2 linked regions of the Oryzias latipes genome follow. Each later gene encodes a partner of the first gene's protein in a complex. Links are inferred from orthologs where the notes say so. Each region holds a gene or a part of one and is shown on either strand. Other genes may lie near its edges.

What was found. Proteins that work in one complex are often made in the same cells at the same time.
Region 2: ing3 (region 1) and acidic leucine-rich nuclear phosphoprotein 32 family member E share a complex: the UniProt entries of both Homo sapiens proteins name them as parts of the SWR1-like complex. The link is inferred for Oryzias latipes from reciprocal best matches to the Homo sapiens genes ING3 and ANP32E.

What each region holds. Positions count from the first base shown.
Region 1 is NC_019881.2:24,133,035-24,137,216, reverse strand, and holds the start of ing3 (inhibitor of growth protein 3), read right to left. Parts: upstream 2,801-4,182; 5' UTR 2,709-2,800; coding exon 2,681-2,708; exon of another isoform or gene 2,624-2,680; coding exon of another isoform or gene 2,623-2,623; intron 2,540-2,622; coding exon 2,468-2,539; intron 1,519-2,467; coding exon 1,418-1,518; intron 1,341-1,417; coding exon 1,275-1,340; intron 1,017-1,274; coding exon 920-1,016; intron 853-919; coding exon 781-852; intron 695-780; coding exon 578-694; intron 495-577; coding exon 331-494; intron 248-330; coding exon 60-247; intron 1-59. UniProt on the Homo sapiens protein: Component of the NuA4 histone acetyltransferase (HAT) complex which is involved in transcriptional activation of select genes principally by acetylation of nucleosomal histones H4 and H2A.
Region 2 is NC_019874.2:32,438,297-32,442,280, forward strand, and holds the start of acidic leucine-rich nuclear phosphoprotein 32 family member E, read left to right. Parts: upstream 1-1,184; 5' UTR 1,185-1,282; coding exon 1,283-1,336; intron 1,337-2,627; coding exon 2,628-2,777; intron 2,778-2,961; coding exon 2,962-3,084; intron 3,085-3,152; coding exon 3,153-3,300; intron 3,301-3,455; coding exon 3,456-3,574; intron 3,575-3,659; coding exon 3,660-3,726; intron 3,727-3,984. UniProt on the Homo sapiens protein: Histone chaperone that specifically mediates the genome-wide removal of histone H2A.Z/H2AZ1 from the nucleosome: removes H2A.Z/H2AZ1 from its normal sites of deposition, especially from enhancer and insulator regions.

The DNA.
Region 1 (4,182 bases):
AACAGGGACTAGAGGTCAGACGGGTCCGAGACACCTGCGGTGGGACGGGGGTAACTTACTTTGACTTCCGACCTCTGGAGTCAGAGGTGGTGCTGGGAGTGAGCGTCTGGGTGAGGGTGGAGGCCAGGGCGGAGGAGGAGTAGGAGCCGTCCCGGGACACGGAGAACTCTCGGCCCAGCTGGAAGTCGTTGTTCTTGATGGCCTCGTAGCTGGCTTTGAGGCTGGAGGTCCGGCGGCCTTCCTTCATCTGATGGGACGGAACAGACGGGGGATGGAGCGCCACCAGCGGGGCCGACATGCACGATTTTAGGATGGGGGTCGGGTTCTGACCTGGGCTGTGGCCTGTACGGCCTGCGCCGCCGCCAAGGTGATGGCGCCGGCGCCGGCCCCGGGTCCTGCGGGCAGAGCGCTCAGGTTGTAGGAAGCCAGGGGCTGAGAGGAGTTGAGGCTGTAGGCGCTGTTGGTGGATGCAGACATGCTGTTGGTGCGGCAACCTAGGGGGCAGGAGGGGGGGGGGGCAGTTAGCTGCGTGGAGGCTCCGCCCTCCAGCTGCATGGCTGTTATCTGCAGATGCTACCTGGCGTGTTCTCCTTGGACGGATCCGAGGTGAGTGTAGACAGCAGAGCCTCAGACTTGAACTTCTTCTCAGGAATGTGCTCCACCGTGTGGTGGGCGGGGGCGCTGCACTTCCTCTCTGTGGACAGAGGACACGGTGACACGTGAACCTGCTGCAGAGGTCCTGACATCACGAGGCGGAGCTGAGGGCGTGCAGCAGCTTACTCTCGGCTGTTATGTGCGAGTGCATGTGATGGTTGTTGACCGGCTGGGAGGGACTGTCCATCTCCAGTGACCCTGAGAAGAGCACAAGGTCACCGCTCTGCCTTTCAGCCCCAACGAGTCGCTCTGGAATCGAACTCACGTCTCTCCAGGATCTCTGTGATGCCGGCATTGTCTGCCTCCAGCTCCATTTTGAACTTGGCCAGCTCCTGGTCCAGTTTCCGCAGGTGCCGGTCCACCTGGAGGCAGAGGAGACAACAGGTCACATGAGCTTCTGGACGCGGTGCAGCAGGTAGACCCGGTCCAGCTGCTGCGGGGCGTCTGTTGGTGATGAGGGAGGAAAGCTCCTCCCCAGTGGTGTTAGGGACAGACAAAACTGTCAGGGAACTCCGTCCTGCTACGGTGGAACCTCCAGGCGATCCGGCAAACCCAGCTGGACCGTCACTGTGCAGGAGGTCAGAGACCATCCGGTCAGAGCGGCAGACGGTTCCACTCACCAGATCATAAATCTGATTGGCCAGCTGTACTTTCTCATCTGCGTCCTCCAGGGCCTTGTAATAATCCTGAAACACACCAGAAACAGAATCTAGATCTGACAGGTTCCTTCGGGTTCCTCCAGAACCAGCAGCAGATTCCAGACCTTCTTGATAACCTCCATTTGCTCCTCTCTCCACTCAGGTTTGTTCTTCTTTGCATTGATGAAGAAATCAATGACCCTCTGCTCCAGCTGGTCTGTGGCGTCTGAAACAAAGAGGCGGGAAAGAACTAAAGCACATGACATCAGCTTTCTGGTGCTGGTTCTGGATCAGACAGGAACCTAGAAGAACTCTCTTACTGTCTCCAAAGTTCTTCCACCTGCAACTGCATCAGAGGTCAGATCTGAGACTGGGGGGGGGGGGGTCAGTCCACCTAACTCTGACCCTCCAACAGCTAGGGGTCACAGATGACCCTGGAGGACTTTACAACTGAACTAGGGCTGCACGAGATGAGCAAAACTCGCCATTTCCAACATTACTGATGAATATTGCAATGACCATATAAGTTGTGATGCATATAGCAAACTATCTAAATAGATCATTTCCATTTCACTGCAACAGCTTCAATTAAATTTAAAGTGTACGTTAAATTACACTCCGAATGCCCCCCCCCCCCCCCCTACATCAAAGGGCTCCATCTGGTTGGTCAAATGCATTAATGGATTTATGTGATTCCTTAAATCCTTCAAGCTGCCATAAGATTGTTTGAGCACATTTAAAGTTACATTTATCACAGCTTGATATCAGGATAACGATAAATGAGTGACTGAATGTGCCTCAACTAACAAATACTGATGTGATAAAAGTTTGAACAGCAGCTGCGGTCATGACGTCAACATGAAAGGCGGCGGATAATGAAGGGATGTGCTTTGATCACCATGACCGCCTGACAAAAAGGGGAGGGGCTTCAGAATCTCAGCCACATATGCGTAAAGTGGCGCACGCAGCTCTACAAAACCTCACTTAGTGAATTATTAAACGAGCTGAAAGGTTGATAAGTTCCGTTGACGTGACTGAGGTGTCACCGGGTTCACGGACATGTCAGGTGTGTTAGCTCCGGTAATCTGGCCTTTTTTAACCGCTCGCTGGCGGTTCGAGTCTCCGTGCCGCGGCAGATGTCCCAGCCGAGCCCGGTGGTTGGCGGAAATACGTACTCTGCACCTGCAGGTCCATCTCCCGCATTTCCGTGAACCTATCGCGGAGGTCCATGGGAAGCTGCTCGATCACTGCCGGAAAAGGAAAAACACGTTAGCATCCGCTGCAGCTAGGCTAACGGAAATGCACGCGGCGGCCACACATAGACACACACTGTGCACACATAACGGGCCGAAGTCGGTACCGCCGCGACGCCCCGGTCCGGTACTCACTCTCAAGGTAATCTTCTAGGTACAGCATGGTGGCAAAGTTCGCGCTTTGGCCGTTTTAGGACAGAAACGGCTTCTTCCAATATGGCGCTGCCTCGCTGACAAAAACACTGGAAAAAAAATGAGGTCAGACTGCGCCTGCGTGACGTACGCGGCTTTCGGATTGGTTCAACAATGAGGGCGCGGTTTTTCCTGTTGTTAAAGGAAATGCATCATGGGAATAGTAGTTTAACTTGCATACTTTTGGACTTTGCACCAAATAAAGATGTTTTACTTAAGATTTTCGCTAATATTATAAACAGAAGGTGGGCTTGGCCTGAGATTATTTAGCTGCTGAGACCTTAAGCAACGGGTCTGTTTGTCTGTGATGAAAATATCAGGACAGAAACGCTGCTATAAACCAAAAATCACTTCATAAGGAAATCACCGATCTATGTTTTGCCTATCTGCACCTTTCTTTCCTTCCTTTCTTTTTAAATCTTTTTTTTTTCTTCCTTTTCTTTTAAAGTAAATTTTATGTTGATTATTTCTATGATGTATTGTGATTTTAATGCATTTTTCTGTTTTGTGAAGCACCTTGAATTACTTTGTGTACGAATTGTGCTATACAAATAAACTTGCCTTGCCTTGCCTTGGACATGATCTGCTTCCATGCCCTCACAAAGTTGAGCAAAACATCTGGAGTTCACAGCATTACTTTGAATGAAGTTGATGGTTTTCACAGTGACATCCATCACCTCATGGAACTCTGGAGACATTTTTTTTGCTGCAAGGTTTTCACGGTGGAGAAAACAATGGGTCCATTTAGCTTCTGGCGCAAGATCAAGTATCTGCTTGATGACACCGCGATGCCTGCCAGTCATTGACGCTGCGCCATCACAGCACACTCCAACACCGTTCTGCCAGTCAAGGCCATTCTCAGTGAAGTAGTTATCCATGCAGCGGAAACATTCCTCAGCTGTAGCTCGAGTTGGAAATTCTCCACAAAACAGAATGTCTTCTTGCAAAGAGCTATCCCACCGGTAGCGAACAAAAACCAACAGCAGCGCAGCATTTGTGACGTCAGTCGACTGGTCCAGCTGCAAAGAGAAAAAGGGGCTCTGTCTTATTCTCCCCAGAAGCTGCTGCTCAATGTCTGAGGCCCTGTCAGCAATATGGTGACTCACAATGTCATTCGACAGCGGGATGGTCTTGAGCTTCTTTGCTGCAGCCTCACCAATCATCTCACGGCACATGTCCACAGCGGCAGGCAGAACCAGTTCCTCCGCTATGGTGAACGCTTTCTTACTCTGCGCCACACGTCTGGCTACGAGGTAGCTGGCCTTTAACGCACACTTAGCGTCGCCAGTCAGTGACACGATGGACCCCCTCTGCATCTGAAGCCCATCATCCTTTCTTTTGAAATAATCCACTGGCTTTCCAATGAGCTTCGGATGTTTGGTTTCCAGATGGTGCTTTAATTTTGACGGTTTTAGTGCTTCATTGGATAATGTTAGCCCACACTC
Region 2 (3,984 bases), on another chromosome or scaffold:
GGGGCTCTCTGCCAGCTCCCTGAAGTTCTCCTGGTCTCCCTGACCTTCCTGCAGGTCACGCAGAGCCTCCATCGTGGACTGAGCGGTCAGACTGAGCCCCCATTCTGTAAATATGAGACCGGTTTGTCCTTCTCACCTCCTCAGAACCTGCATGAAGAGTCCCGAAGCTCCACCCAGACAGGAAGTCTGAAGATGATGTAGTGACATCACTTCCTGTTGAACTACAACAATTTACTGTTAAATTGTTACAGTTTATTTATTGATGTCATTTCGGAACCAGAAGATCTCCACTGAGCATGCTCAGTTCCTTTTTAACTCCCTCAACGCTCTCTTGATGATCACCTTTTATCTAACTCCTCCCCATGAGTCATGACTCCTCCCCATGAGTCATGACTCCTCCCCATGAGTCATGACTCCTCCCCATTAGTCGTGACTCCTCCCCATGAGTTATGACTCCTCCCCATGAGTCATGACTCCTCCCCATTATTCGTGACTCCTCCCCATGAGTCATGACTCCTCCCCATGAGTCATGACTCCTCCCCATTATTCGTGACTCCTCCCCATGAGTTATGACTCCTCCCCATGAGTCATGACTCCTCCTCTCACATCTTTCTGGATGGTCTGAGCATTTGCGGTTCTGTTGGACCTGCACTGATGGTGTTGAAGTTTTCTGTCTCTCCTCATTGCTCTGGTTGGATTGGCCTTCGCTCAGAGCAGCCGGGTCCGACCAGAACCAAACCCTGAGTTTGCTGTTATTTATTTCTGGCTGTGATTTCAGGTGTACATGTTTGTTTTTTAAGAAAACAGAATAAAACGACTGTTCTGAAACTGAACTGGATCTGTTTATCCAGCCAACCAGAACCGGAGCAGGTGGCGGTCCGATTCATGATGTTTTAAGACAGCAATCCCCTCAAAGGTGATTGATGTTCTCCTGATGAGTTCACGTTCTGCTCTGTAGAATAGGAAATCCCAGATTGATCTCGTGTTTGGGATCCTCTGGTTTCTTAGATCAGCCTGTTTCTACAGAAAGGGGAGGAGCCTAAACATTTTAAAAAAGGGTCTATCTTCGCATTCTCATTGGTCAGTCCTGACGTTCAGACCAATCGCGGTCAAGAGTATTCAGTCGTACGCTGTGGGGGCGGAGCTTCAGACCGAACCAATCAGATCCCACGTGGATCCGGAGCCTTTGAAATGCGTGAGGAGGCGTGTTCGCGACAGAGGACTGAGCCGCGCGTGCGCGCCATCTCTTTTGTTTTGCTACTTTCTGTGCTCCTGCTTCATCATGGAGATGAAGAAGAGGATCAGCCTCGAGCTCCGAAACCGAAGTCCCACCGAGGTGCGTGAGAATCCCGCAGCCGCTCCTGTTTTCTGCGTTAGCGGTAAAGACGCGCGCGCGTGTTCCGTCGTCTTAGCGCGAGCTACACCCGCGCGGCTCTAGTAGCGGAGCTCTGTTTCCCGCCCGCTCCACGTGCGGGTTTCCTGTGTTCCGTGGAGAAGCCTCGAGGCAGCTCCAGCTAGCTAGCTAATGTGGAGAAAGAGCCGCGAGCCGGTTTGGGTCTGTTTCGGTCGGGTTCCGTTGACTGTGTGCAGCGGGGCGACTTCCCGCCGTAGGATGATCGCGGTTCCGATGACAGTGGTGATCCTGACGAACCGCAGTTCTGCTGAAATGCTTCGGCGCCGTTTTAGCTTGAAGCTCCAGCTCGGTGAGTCTGTTCGGACCACTTTCAATGCGCATGCGCAGTCCAGTCTCGGAGCTGGATTTTTTCGATGCACGGCTGGCTGTTGGGGACCCGGGTGGGTTCGGTCCATTTCAAACAGCCTTCTGGCGGAATATCGGGCAGACGTGAGCTGAACCTCAGCCACGGTCCGAGACCAGGACGCGGGGAATGGACGGTACCGGTGGTCCTCGGTCCGTCTGCCTTCATTCTTAAGCCGTGCAGAGGTCAGGTTCGAAATGGGAGGTCAGGTTCGGAATGGGGAGCACCAACACAGATTAGCTTCTATAGGTACCACTCATTTATGGGACTTACTTTACTATACATATTCTATATTGTGGTAAACATGAGTTCACATACAGAACCCTACAAACATCTGGGCTCTATGGACCTAAACACTGCAGTTGTTCCAAAGGTCCAGAGCTCGGTTCTGGTCCAGACCTGTTGCCTGTCATCAAACGTCTGCAGTTTCGCTAACGGCCTGCAGGGGGCGCGGGAACGCCGAGGCCGTCTGGTTTCCATCATGGTGACGTATGAAAGCGTCATGGTGGTAAAACTGCTGGTGTCACGTGACTGCGGACGGCGGGCGGATGAAAAGGAAGAATAAATATTCATCCAATCAGCTGTGGCGCTGTGGATGGAGCTCTGGGGAAGTGCTGCACATCTGATTGGCTACCATGATGGCATGGCGTTAAAACTCCAAACACGCCTGGTGGAGCGTTTCCACATACGTCTAGGCTCTGAAGCTCTCTGGAGCAGACACTAAGGGGATTGTGAAATCCACCAGGACCGGTTCTGGACCAGAGCCCGGCTGGTAGACGAGGCCTCCTGTCCTCAGAGTGAAGCGGCCGCTCTGCGGCGCCGAAGGTGGGGTGTTGGCTGCAGGTCTGCTCAGCTGCCGTCTGCTTCCAGGTGGGGGAGCTGGTGGTGGACAACTGCCGCTCCAGCGACGGCGAGGTGGAAGGTCTGTCAGAGGAGTTCACGGAGCTGGAGGTCCTCAGCATGGTGAACGTGGGCCTCAGCTCGCTGTCCAAGATGCCCCTGCTGCCCAAACTGCAGAAGGTGAGGAGACGTGGTCATGACCGCAGCCTCAGGAGGTCTGACCTTCCTCCCAAACGTCTAAACTGAATGAAGGACGTTGACCTCAGAATGATGCAAACCAAATGGTTCCAGGTTCAGGTTGGTCTGAACCGCTCAGCCTTCCCGCCTTTTACAGCAGAACTGAGACCCGACTGCTGTGTTTCAGCTGGAGGTCAGTGAGAACTCCATCGGTGGGGGGCTGAACACGCTGGTGGAGAAGTGTCCTGGCCTGACCCACCTCAACCTCAGCAGCAACAAGCTGAAGGAGCTGAGCAGCCTGGAGCCGCTGGTAAGTGGCGCCTTCCTCTGGTCCTCCCAGGAGGTCCGCTGCTCACGGCGATGTCATGTGACCTGCAGCAGAGCCTGAAGGCCCTGAAGAGTCTGGACCTGTACGGCTGCGACGTGTCCTCTCTGGACGACTACAGGGAGCGCGTCTTCCAGCTGCTGCCACAGCTCACCTACCTGGACGGGTTCGACCAGGAGGACAACGAGGCGTCCGACAACGGTGAGGCGCCATCCGTCACAGTCTGAAGGTCGAGGAACCCGCTCTGCTGGTTCTTCAGAATAATCATGAAGGTCTAAGACAAACCTAAAGTTCTTGTTTGGTTCCGTCTGAACTCACCTGATCCGTTTCCTGTCAACACACTGGTTCTTTTCTAGATGAGGAGGAGGAGGCAGGTCCTCCCGGAGATGATGATGAGGAGGACGAAGATGATGAAGAGCACGGCTCTGAAGAAGAGGAAGTGGGGCTTTCCTACCTGATGAAGGACGGCATCCAGGTGTGCCACTGATCCAGATGGGGAGGGGGAGGGGGGGGGCTCCTTGTGACTGAGCGCAGTCAGCAGCTTCCTGTTTCTGTTGAAGGACGAAGACGATGATGGAGATTATGTTGAGGAGGAAGAGGACGAAGAGGATGAAGATGAGGATGGAGGTGAGTCTGTTCTCCTCCCTCACATGGACAGACCCTCCTGAAGTGATGAGGGGGGGTCTGGTTGAGAACCCGGTTCTCCTGGACCTGTAGGCTGACGCCACAGGTCAAAGCAGAGGAGGAAAGAGGCTCCGCCTTTTCTGCAGAGATGACATCATTCTGTTGAACTACAAATGAAGGAGGATGGACTACAGACACGTCACTTCCTGCTGCGTCATGCTAACACCTGTTTGCAGAAAAAGGTTCAGATCTCCTGCTGTT